2 linked regions of the Drosophila melanogaster genome follow. The gene in region 2 interacts genetically with the main gene of each other region. Each region holds a gene or a part of one and is shown on either strand. Other genes may lie near its edges.

Evidence for each region. Genes that interact genetically often act in the same process or in processes that back each other up.
Region 1: of E2f1 (region 2) and Rbf, changing one suppresses a phenotype caused by changing the other (phenotypic suppression), as found in Drosophila melanogaster (5 studies listed by BioGRID).

What each region holds. Positions count from the first base shown.
Region 1 is NC_004354.4:796,544-803,444, forward strand, and holds Rbf (Retinoblastoma-family protein), read right to left. Parts: upstream 4,937-6,901; 5' UTR 4,243-4,936; coding exon 4,054-4,242; intron 3,975-4,053; coding exon 3,835-3,974; intron 3,774-3,834; coding exon 3,585-3,773; intron 3,523-3,584; coding exon 3,168-3,522; intron 3,105-3,167; coding exon 2,773-3,104; intron 2,471-2,772; coding exon 1,735-2,470; intron 1,600-1,734; coding exon 1,219-1,599; intron 1,150-1,218; coding exon 934-1,149; 3' UTR 547-933; downstream 1-546. Other genes in the region: CG13359 (uncharacterized protein), read right to left, coding at 5,402-6,883.
Region 2 is NT_033777.3:21,630,051-21,635,079, forward strand, and holds the start of E2f1 (E2F transcription factor 1), read right to left. Parts: upstream 3,024-5,029; 5' UTR 2,874-3,023; exon of another isoform or gene 2,083-2,873; intron 1-2,082. UniProt on the Drosophila melanogaster protein: Transcriptional activator that binds to E2f sites. Required for wild-type growth in mitotic and polytene tissues, Contributes to the expression of replication genes at the G1-S transition and Cyclin E.

The sequences.
Region 1 (6,901 bases), on a different chromosome or scaffold from region 2:
GTGACACGAACATCAAGAACAACTCGGCTGCTCATCACTGGTGTGCGCTCTGTTCCGAATTAACGGTTGTGCTGCTTTCCTATTGGTCAATTGGTAACTGGAAAGATCGAAAGGGCTGCCAGCTGCAGCTTGCTAGGGATTCTGTTGGCCTAGTGTCTGGGACCCGACAGTTGTCTGCGAAAAATGTTGCCCCGTCGTAAATTTTGTCAAAAATTTGTGAATTCTCAGTGGCTGAACACCAGGCAAACAAAAATTGCCACATAGGGCAGACATCATAAAGTAACTAACGGTTTCTCCCCATCTTTGGCTTCCTATTGGTCGAATGGGCTGACTGGAAAAGCGTAAGGCGCAGCCATCTTGAAAAGGATCAGCTGTTTTAGTTAATTTGAGCGGCCAGCTAGCACCTGTTACTGTTTCTGTTCGCCTGGTGCCTGAAACTTGTAAAGGTGGCAATTTCGACCAGAGAAATTACGATTTTAAACATCCCATCCTTTGTACGACGACGTAGATCGACTACGAAAATGTTTAAATAAATACAATTAACATCAATTTGTAAAAAGTATATTTGTATATAAGCTTTTATATATAATGTGGATTGCATTAATTTGATTTGTTTTTTTGTTAGTGATTTTTAAATCGCGGGGAGTCGCGACCGATGGATGTGTGTGTGTGTGGTGATCAAGTATTTAGTACAACTATTTCAAAGTATTGGGTTAGCATATGAATTATATGGTTGGCTGGCGTTGAGCAAAATTAAAAGATGTGCTAAAATAGTTTGTTGAAATTAAGTTAAAATGTCAATTTAAGTTTTAATATTTAAAAAAAAACAATCATAAAATAGTCGAACGTGCGCCGGAGGGGCCAGTGTGTGGCCTTCTGCGCCGAATTTTTAGTTCTTGCCTTAAGTCTAGTCTGCCCCCATAAGCCCCGTGTCTATGTCTCGTGTTCTCCTCCTTCGCCCCCTACGCAACCTTCCGTGGTAACAGCAGTCTGCTGCTCGGCTGACTGCAGTTCAGGGTCGTCCATGACGGCCTTGACCTGGCTGATTTTCGAGCGCTTCGTCTCTGCCATTGTACCTAGTCCGGGCTCGTCGCCAAAGCTCAGCATGCGCTTGCCGCCGCGTACCTTTTCGTTCATAGCCTGAAGGTCCTGCGGGTATAGCAAGCGGATTAATCGATGTTATAGCTGAGGAGGTGGACGCAACTCCGAAATATTTACCTTGGCGGGGCTGCGGCAAAAACTGTAGACCATCTGGTTGGGCGACTGCTGTATCTCGTTCTTGGACATCTGCGACACGAACAGCGAGTGGCTCTGGGTTACCTTCTTGGGCTGGGCGGCCCGTTCCTTCGGATGCGGGGAGAGCTGTAGATCCGAAGCCCGGCCACTCACGTCCGGAGTTACGTTTAGGTAGTCGATGACGAACTGCCGCATCAGCGGCACGTAAGTGTGGTTGTAAAAGTGAATGATGTCCTTCACCTTTGGCTCCCCGTCCTCGTTGATGTCGATGAACACCTCGCGGTAGACGCTGTTCACCGCCTGCGGCTGGTTGCGATATGCCCGCATAATGTCACTGAACTTGGGGTCCTCCATTCGCTTTACCTGCGGGTTGTAAGGAGTTGCATGGATGTTATAAGTGGGTCTTCAGCTGCACACGGACGAATGCATCTGATTATGTGCATTTCAAAATGTATGCCAGCGAATCGGACAGAGATAGAATGTGGATGTGCTACTCACTCTTATGTAGATATATATTGCACACATAATATTTTGATCGAGGTGGCGGTCCTTCATCAATTCCGTCTCGTGGGTGATCGAGTGCTCAAAGATGTGCCAGATGCTCTCGGGCGTCTTCTCGCACAGTGACAGCTCCGAGCACAGCTTCTGGATGCGCAACCAGCCAAGCAGGTACACCTTGCGCAGGAATATCTGCAAGGGGCCGGCGGCGCGGTCGAGGTTAACCATGAGCCACGTGGGCAACGGCAGTTGGGCGGAGGCGATCATTTCCCAGACGGTCGAGTTCCTCGCCCAGGCCAGCCGCTCCAGACACGTCTCCTCGATGGAGTTAAGGTGCTTTATCAGCGACCGGTTCAAACAGCCTTCGTGCGAGCCGTGCCGCACCACGATCTCGATGATCTTTTGGAACTCGAACGCGCTAATACTGAAACAGTCGAGCACCCACGGGAACTTGAGCTCCGTTTTGTAGGCCTCCAGCACCAGCTCCACGCAGCAGGCCATCAGCGTGATGTTAAAGATGACCAGGGAGACCTTCTGCACCAGCAGTCGCTTGAGATCGATGTCGGGCTTGTTCCGAATTTCCGCCTGCAGGATCTGGTCGAGCAGGTAGAAGAAGAAGGACTTCGCTAGTTGGAAGCGACTCTTCGCCTCCGTTGACGGGTACTTGGCGAGGAATTTCTGCTCGATCTCCTCGATGATGCTAAGCAGCTTGGCTATTACCTCTTCGCCAGCTTGCCTGGATAAAGACAGGGCGATATCAAAACATGAGCTATAGAAATCAATCCCGGATTTAATCTAATCGATTCTTCTTACATCAACAGAAATTTCTATGGATGTGTGCTTCGGCTAACGAAATTCGATATTCGATATTTCCTACGATTTATAAAGCAATCAAATAAACATGAGTTTTGTTTACACGACGCCAACGACTTTCAGCCATTTGGACATAGAGATAAGCCTTTTCTCTCTCACAGGTTTTGAATGATAGTTAGGAACACTCGACACCCAACCCAAATACAAGGCCAGCCGGCAACTCACTTGACAAAGTCCGTGGGTTCTGTGATCCGTCCGAAGGCGCTCAGCTGCTTCACGTTGTTAGTGGCGTTGCGGACGGGCTCAAATTTATCGCCAGCCATCGCGGGCTGCGCAGGCAGATCTTGCTTGCGGGTAAGCGGAGTAACCGGCGGACGCAGGGACTGGTCGTTGAGGGCAGTGTGTTCCCCCGCATCGTAGGCACTCAGAATGCGTTCGTCGAATTCGCCGACGCTGAGGACGTACTGCTCGTAGCTGATGTTGAGGGACTTTAGGTTGCGCTCGAAGTTTTCGTTAGCCAATAGGCCTAACATAGTGTCCTTGTTGCCGTAGATGGTCTGGTCGAAATGAAAATAGAACAAATTAATTGTTTTAATGGAAATCCGAAACGGCACTCCTACCGAAGCCTGAAAGAAGCTCGACATGATCTGGCGGAAAGTGGTGGCCTTCATGGCTTTAGCCTCCTCGGTCATGTCACAGAAGTTGGACAAAATGCAGTGCGGATTGTGACGAAAGTCCAGCTCCGTCCAGTTGCTCGGCAGGCCCTCGAATTTGGGGTTGATGAGATCGGTGCGCTTCTCGGCCAGCACATTGTTGTATATCAGGTCTATGCAGCAAATCATCAGATTGTAGGATGTCACCAGGTCCACGGTGTTGCTCGGCTTCTGGTTCTTGGCGCAGAGAAACAGGCGCCAGCAGATGTCGTCCAGCTTGATGTACGAGCACTTTCCGTGGGCGTGGTTGCCATGCAGAGAACTGTTCCAAAGAGGGAAGCTTTTTATATACACGGGGTCAGGCTGACATGATGATATACGCACATGTACTTGGAGTGCTTCTTCTCGTTGGGCGGGCACGAGAAGATCATGTCCATAATAATGCGGAAACGCTTGTGCAGCATGAATGTAATGCTGAACTTGCGGTCCAGATCCTCAATCTCGTTGACAAACTCCTGAGGCAGGTTGGCCATGTCGCACCACTGCTTAATTTTGGTCTTGAACTCGTAGATGCTGTGGGTGGGGATTGTGGAAATGGTTAGGTGTGAAACTGCAGGCATAAACGGCAACCCACCTCATCTTGCAGCAGCGCAGCAAATTGTTTAAGGACACACAATTACCCTTGACCACTGCATTCTGGCCAGTCACCGTGGGTGTGCTGGTTCTTCGGCAGGCCGTGTAAATGGCGCAGCACATCCAGTGGCTGGCTGTGCCCTTTTAGGCAGGCAATGCACAGAAAGAATGAAAGAAAGGACGTTAGGTTGGAGGCTACTGCTGCCACTTCGAAGCTCACCTCCATGGAGCACCTCTGGGACACCTCTAAGTACGTCTCGTAGCCCTGCAGCTCTGTCTGCCGATCCATGTTTAGATCCCGGCATAGGTTCGTGTACTCGGCGTTGATCATCTCCAGGCGGTCGTCGCTGGTCGCCACCAATCCGCTGACCACCTCAGCTCCCAGTTCCTGCGGGTCAGGCTCGCTCATGTCTGCGAATGATGTCTCTGTCCCGGCTGATTGCGTATGCTTGCAGCGGCGGCCGCTGCTTCTGGCGACAGCCTGGAGTCGGAAATCGGAGACGGAGGCGCCTGAATTGGAGCTAGCCGGCTAACCGGGGCGTTGCGGGCCTGGCGCCGCTGTTTACGTCTAGTGGCCTGGCGCCTAGTGGCTGCCGGTGTATGCTGCGCTTGCCGCCGCGCTCCTCGCGGACATGTAACTGCGAGAGCTTACACTTAATTACAGAAATAATGAAGTTTCCCGCCGAAATGATTTGGGCGTGTGTGTTTGTGTGCGAGTGTTTGTCGCGTGTGTGTGTGTTCGCGATACACCCTTTTCTGAGGAACACAACAAAAGAGCAGGCGAGGGGACAGAACAAACAGCGCTGGGATGCTGCGATTAGCCAGGACCACACCACGGCCACGGTTGTTGGTTAAAACACATTAACAAAATAACTATTTCACAACTTAATCGCCATGGAAAACGCGGGAAACTTGACTAGTTGCGGCGGGCAGGTGCGTGTGATCCACTCCGCGTTCGAACTATCCACTTCTAGGGCTGCGCGGACGATGTGGCCCTAGGGATGGACTTGTGCAGAAGGAAAACTAATTTATTGCCACTACTTAAAGATTTTGCAATTGCGATTGCATAGTCAGAGTCTGACACGTTAATACAAGTTAATGGATTTTTAGTTGGGCGGCCGGTATTTCGCCAGCAAAGCCATGCGGTCACACCGACGCGCGCATTCGGCCAGTTTAAACGTGGTGGGGTGGTATTACTACAGTGCTTGGCGAGTTATGCAGTGACTGCAAGCAGTATGTCGTGTTGCATACATACCTAAATTGGGGGACCCTAAAATGAATTAGAACGAAATAATTGACAAAAATATGTGTACACATATAATTTATTTGCAATGCACAATGCTATTTGCATGTGTGCGGTAAACTGACAGTGTTGGTTAGCGTTCAAGAGCATTGCACATCGGCGATATAGCTAGTTGTAATCGATAGCCGCAAATTTAAATACTGCTTTGAACTTTATGGAAATTCGCGGGAATTCTTCGCGATTCAGCTACTAACATACATACATATACACTATACAATTTAGAGAACTTGCTGTCGCAGCACATACGACCCGAGCTACGACGTGGCTAACGTAGATACCGTCTTCTGAACCTCCTGGCCAGGAGGTGGAATAGCATGTGTCGCCGCATAAAGGCCGCCGTCAGACCTGCCGCCGTGGACAGCTCGTGGTTTTCTTGAGAATCGCTGGCCAGACTGGAGCTCTCGAAGGAATTGGAGGAATTGAAAGAGTCAGAACTCTCTGCCTGCGTATTCTGATCCGCACCAGTTCTAGCACTTCTCCAAATGGGTGTTGAAGAGCCGTCGGACTTACAGCCACTGGTGTTGGTTCTGGAGTTCGGGATCTGGGTTCTGTCGGGATGCTTCTCCAGCACAAGGCAATGCTGTCTTTTGAACGGTTGACTAGCAGACACACCGTACTTGGCTATCGCGCGGTTGAGCTCAGGATCGGGGATGTATGCACCGCGCGACAAAGACTCCGTTTTTCCGATCGATTTTCTTTTGGAAATATACCCGCTGACATATCTTTTTGGTCTAGAGAAACGTCTCGCGGAGGTTGCCTTCTCAATAGTCAATTTCCTCGCGGAGGTTGCATTGTCAATGGTCAAGTTCCTCGTGGATTTTGCCTTGTCAATAGTCATTTTCCTCGCGGAGGTTGCCTTCTCAATAGTCAATTTCCTCGCGGAGGTTGCATTGTCAATGGTCAAGTTCCTCGTGGATTTTGCCTTGTCAATAGTCATTTTCCTCGCGGAGGTTGCCTTGTCAATAGTCAATTTCCTCGCGGAGGTTGCCTTGTCAATAGTCAATTTCCTCGCGGAGGTTCCCTTGTCAATAGTCAATTTCCTCGCGTTGGTTGCCTTGTCTATAGTCAATGTCCCCGCGGAGGTTGAGTTGTCAATAGTCAATTTCCTAGCGGAGGTTGCCTTGTCAATAGCCAAGATCCTCGCAGAGTTTGCCTTGTCAATAGTCAAGTTCCTCGCAGAATTTGCCTTGTCAATAATCAATTTCCTTCGCTCCGCCTCCTCCGTCTGCAAAGTCTTGTGGTGCACCTCAACGCGATCCACAAGATTCTTGGCCGCCTTCTGATCAGCTAAATTCATCTCTGCACGCACCTTGCGGAGAGCAAGGCAGTCAATGATGCTATGACTCTGCCAAGTGACCTCCAGGTCGGCGGGGATTGGTGTTCCCTCTGACGCCAAGCAGCCCTGACTCGTCATTACTTGTTTCTGGCAAATGTCCATGAACTTGTCTCGCCGGCTAAGCAACGCGTGAGGCGCCAGGTCCACATCCCCCAGTTTCCGGTGATTAAAGTGGGTGATTAGTTTTCCGGTATGCGAATTTACCCCCACGACGGTTGCGACATCGAAGTGCTCTGGACAGCGTATGCGCATCTCGCTGAGCGAGCAGGCCAAATCCAGATTTGACCGGCACCACACTACCATATCCTCCTCGTCGTCCTGTTGCGGCTCGACATAGGGAATTAACCGCTGCAAGTTCGGACGCGGCGTTCCCACGTCGCAGAGGGCATTAAAAGATGCAGAGCATTTCATTTCTAAATATAAAATTTA
Region 2 (5,029 bases):
TCCCCTCCCTTCACCTTTTCACTGCCACTACTCTGCTCTCACGTTCTCCGTGTTAATTTCGAATTAGTATAGCAACAATAACCGGCCGCAAGGTGTAGTGAAGATTGTTAAATTAACGGATCTTTACTCTTTATAACTTAAATTTAGTCTGCCCCCGAATAATAAATATGCCCAATTGCAGACATGAAATCTCAATTCACTAATTAATAAAATATTAGCTAAAATCCCAATTCGAATGCAACTAATGGCTGGTATTTAATTTGCAGCCATAACTGTATTCCTCTGGCATGCCAATTTACCGTTATTAATTATGAAGATCATGCATTTACATGGCTATTAATTATATACGTTGTTATGTATGCAGACTCACGCACACACAGGCATAAGCACAAGCACACGAAAACATACATATGTATGTACATGCATGCTCACTAACACCCACACAGATACCAAGAGCTAATAAAAAGTTTCGCTTTCTTTTTGCACATCATTTTGCATGCGCAGTAAAAAGGCAGGGACAAGTGAAATAAATACAAATAAATAATGTGCGAGTGTGCAAGGTGTTAAGCAACAACAATTGCAATAGAGGGAAAAAAGTGAATCAAAAGCCAGAAAAAGAGGAAGAACACGAATTTTGTGTATTAAGCGGCAGTCCAGAGAGAGAAAGAGAGAGTCTCCCACGGTGTGTGTGTGTGTTGGAGGGGGATGCTGCTAGGGAAAAGAGACTGAGAGTAAAAGCCGGCCTGAATCCGAATAACAGCTGTTACTCACAGACACAATCCACATGGAACATCTCTCTTCATCTTTTTGTTGTTGTTGGTCCCATGGATGCTTTTTTCTAGCCGGTTTTATTTTCTCTATCATCTTTATTTCATTTGGTCAATTACACACACTTGGCTTCTTTCTTATGAACCGCAAGGACCGAGACAGAAGGCAGCCACTTAATTGCACACTTACAGAAATGAAATAAGGTAATAGTAATATAAAATAAAACGGCTGTAAGCCTCGCCTTAGCTTTTTTCGTTTGAGAAAGCCAAAAATAATTGCCAACTGGCCAAGTCAAGAAAAAGAGAACGAGTAAAAGAGAAGGCGGCTTTTTGTCCAGGGAGAGGCGCACAAAATGCGTCGCAAAATATTTCGCCCACAGAAAACTGCAAACATAATGAAAGCCCGGGAAAGGAAAAATTATTGCGTGGGTGTGGAATATCAATGCCGGCAAGGAAAGCAGAATGAATTCCAGGGAAGTCCCCTTTGCGTTTCATACACCAAAATTTTGTACATAATGTACAAAACTTCATTTCGCCTGGCCATTTACGCGATGACGCATTTAGAGCCAATCGAATATTGTGTACTCACAAGGCCTGATAACAGGGGCCACACATAATGTACACACTATGTGGTGCAGTCGTCAAGTACATGCACAGATTAAAGCGGAAAACTGTTGATGCAAGTCCAATTAACCCGACGAAACTGGTAGAAGTAACCGGCAAATTCAAGACCACAGAAAATATTAAAGAGACAAATGATCTGAGATTTTAAAACATTTAGATCACTTTAATTTGTAAAACAAACACATTACCTAATTATTACATGTCTATTGAACATTTCAGTTGATATTTATGACTGCAGTGCAGCTTTAATTTTGCATTCCTCAGTATCCACGTCAACACAAAAACGCCAGTTAGTTGGCTAATATTGTGCTGGACGGTTTTACACAATTAATTTTAACTTGAAATGTATTTTTGTCCATATCTTCGAAGAAAAACCACGAGTTCTTCAAACTGTTACCTGCACTGTTGTCTTAACATCTAGTAAAATGTTAATCTGGGGGGCGCCATAAAGAAATCGCCGCCGACTTTGGGCAAATAGAAATAAAAACTGATGGACTCCGAATTTTCGATTCGTTATCTCTGAAAACTGGAGCGTTGGGGGATTGAATGAGTGAGCGAATGACTGCTATTCACCGTATCGGTTTTGGAGGTTATTAGAGGGCTTAGCCCAAAATTGAATGATTAATTGATCATCAAAGGTGAGGTGGAAACTCCCTTTGCTTCTTTTTTTTTGTCTTGTTTGAATACGCACCTAAAAATGGAATTTTTGTTGGTTTTACTTGCTTTCTATATATCACACGCAACCACAACAAATTGCTCTGCTTTTTTTTCCACCGCCGCCTGCTTCTTCTTGCTCTTTTTGAATATCACACACGTTTCATATTTGCAAATTTTTCATTTTTTTGCGGGCGTTTTGCCTTTTCTGTCGGTTACTTTTTGTATTCCACGTATAATGTGCTGCTGCTTCTTACTCGTTTGACTCAGTCTGTGTGTGTGCGAGTGTGAGTACGTCGGTGGTGTGGGAACTTTTAACTTTACTACGCGACGTTTTCGTTTCTCTTCTTTATTCTCTATATATTCTACGATTCTGTGCGTGACGTCAGCAGTTCGAGCATTTGTTGTAGATATCACATAATTGTTACACGCCCGCACTTTTATTTTATTTTATTCTTGATTTTTTAGAGCATTTGCTATTGCTACTCAGCGACTTGAATCTTTTACTTGCAGAGGCAGTCTTTTGCGGCTTTTTGGTTTTTCTCTCAGTTTTCCATTTTCACATTTTTGCGGACTGGCGACGAAAAGCGAACTGAACTTGGGCCACAAAGTGTGTTGTGCCGTGTCTTTTTTGGAGTCGCCGTCGCCGGCAAAACGCAATCCACACGCGGAGAAAGAGAATCGGAGAGACACGAGATAGAGAGAGAGAGCGAGAGAGGGAGTCGTCTTACGTCAGACGGAGAAAACGTAAGCACCACCGTAATGGCACTTTTAATACCGGCCACTTACGCTTAATTAGTGTATTAAACCACATTAACTTATCAATACCTCAGTCTTGTACTCTTTTCAGTTAGCTTTTCTATTTTTTTTCGGATTTTTCCGTCGATTTTCCCCTCGTAACGTGTTTTCTGCTCGCACATGTGTGTGGGGGCGGCAGCGGCAACAGCAGCGTCACGACGCGACAACAACACTGAACGCGGCGAATCGACAGAACAAGCAACGAGCCACAAAACGCACGGCGTCTCTTGTAGCGGCGAATTTGAGGCGTCAGCAGCTGAGCGCTCGCGGCACGAGAGAGTGAGAGCAGAAGAGAGTGGATCGTAAATTGAGTGGAGACAAAACTGATCAAACGATAGCTATTCGATATTACGATAGGTTGTCAATTCAAAAGGGAACGAATATTTTGGGTTATTAATATTTTGCAATGAATAAATACATTTGAGTGTTAAAAGAAAAATATAATTATTTATAAGCGAAGTTAAATACCTATAACAGCGCTGTTAATCACTTCCTGAATTGTTTTTTAAATGCTACATTATTTTACCTAATATCAGCTTTTAATTAAATCTTTGGTCCAAGTTTTATTTGAAGTTTTTAATTTTAAAATTCTGTTGATATAAAAACTAATGCTTGAAGCTAAGAGAACCACGCTAATTGCAGCGAATTAGCGGCAACAGCTGAGCACGAGAGAGAACGAATGTGGAGAAGGGGGCGGAAAGCGAAAGCGCAAGAGGGTGGAATGTGAGTGGCGCCGCTTCCTACTCTTCACATGTGGCATGTGGAAGCCAGACTCGAATGTTCGGTGAGAGCGGCTTTTGCTTTTGGCCCCCAACCCTTTTCGCTCTCTTCGGCTTGCCGGCTACAAATCGGCTAAAAATCGCTCAGACGGAAGTGGCGACGTCGCTGTTACCGCACCCACATCAACAGCGACGCCGGCAGAGAACCTTTCCCCTCCCGCTCAACCAACCGCTTCACCATCTTCTTTATCTTTATCAGTTGTGTGCCAAGTGTTGCATTGCGTTGCAGTGACGACATTGTTGTAGTTGCAGCAGCACAGCAGCGTTGCCGATTTTCAGCGCCCCATCAACAAGGGGTACACTTTTTAAGGCCGGAAATAGGCATTAAATGGGTCTATCGCATAACTCGACACTGTCGCACACAAATCTATTAATTTCTACGTATCATAAAAATTATGCCTGAGATTAAAGCCAAGTATGCTCATCTCACAGCTCACAGCTTAATCATATAATATACCTTAAAGATTTGCAACTTTATAGAGAAAAGTTAGTATTTAATTAAGTAAATACTAACTGAAGTGTAAAAATTCACCTATTTGCTGAGCAACTGACCTGATTAAAGAAACCTGCTCAAACATTTGACTTTCCATTCTTATATTATTTGTTATTCCACTATTAATCTACTTTAGTGCAAAAGCACTTTCTACTAAACAAACAATACTCATACATTCTGGAATAATGCAAAGTTTGTACTCATAAATATCCCAAAATCGCTACCATGTCACTTTTTCTAACAACAATCTGATTAAATATTTACAACTCATGCCCGCTGCCATTTGCATTCCTGGTTTTGTGTGCACAAATGTATCTCGCAAATCAGTACAACTTGCCAGGCGATCTGCGCAGTGTTTCCCATTCCCATAATCCCAAGCCCAGTAACTGAGAAACATCCCCCCCCCCTCCTACCAGAAATGTAATCTCCTTTCCAGTTTTCGATTTCTATTAACTTTTTAGGCAGTTTTTTTTTTTGGATTCGAGGCTGTTATCCTTTGGGTTTCTCTTGGGTGGGTTGCTGAGGCGAGGACACTCACAGATCCGTGAGTGTGATTTTTTTCACATTTCCCATAAGCCAGACCGGCAGACAAGAAGAAGAAGAAGAAGAATGAGAATACGAATATGAAGAAGAGGGGCGAGAATCACCCCTCACGGACGCAGAAAGAGAGGAAGAACTTTGGCCCCTGCGCCTGCCCCTTCCCCCTTCCCATCCCTTGCCCAACACATATGCAATTAGAGTATCTCTATGCTTGATTTTTTTTCAACCATTTTCTGCAAGATGGTTTTTTTTTTTCGCCTACCAGATAGAAGAGCGCAAGCGGGAACTTCCCACGATCCTTGGGTGGACTTTTGTACTTTGGAAGACATTTTATGTGCGCAGTGTCATAAATACTTTTAATTAACTGGAAATGC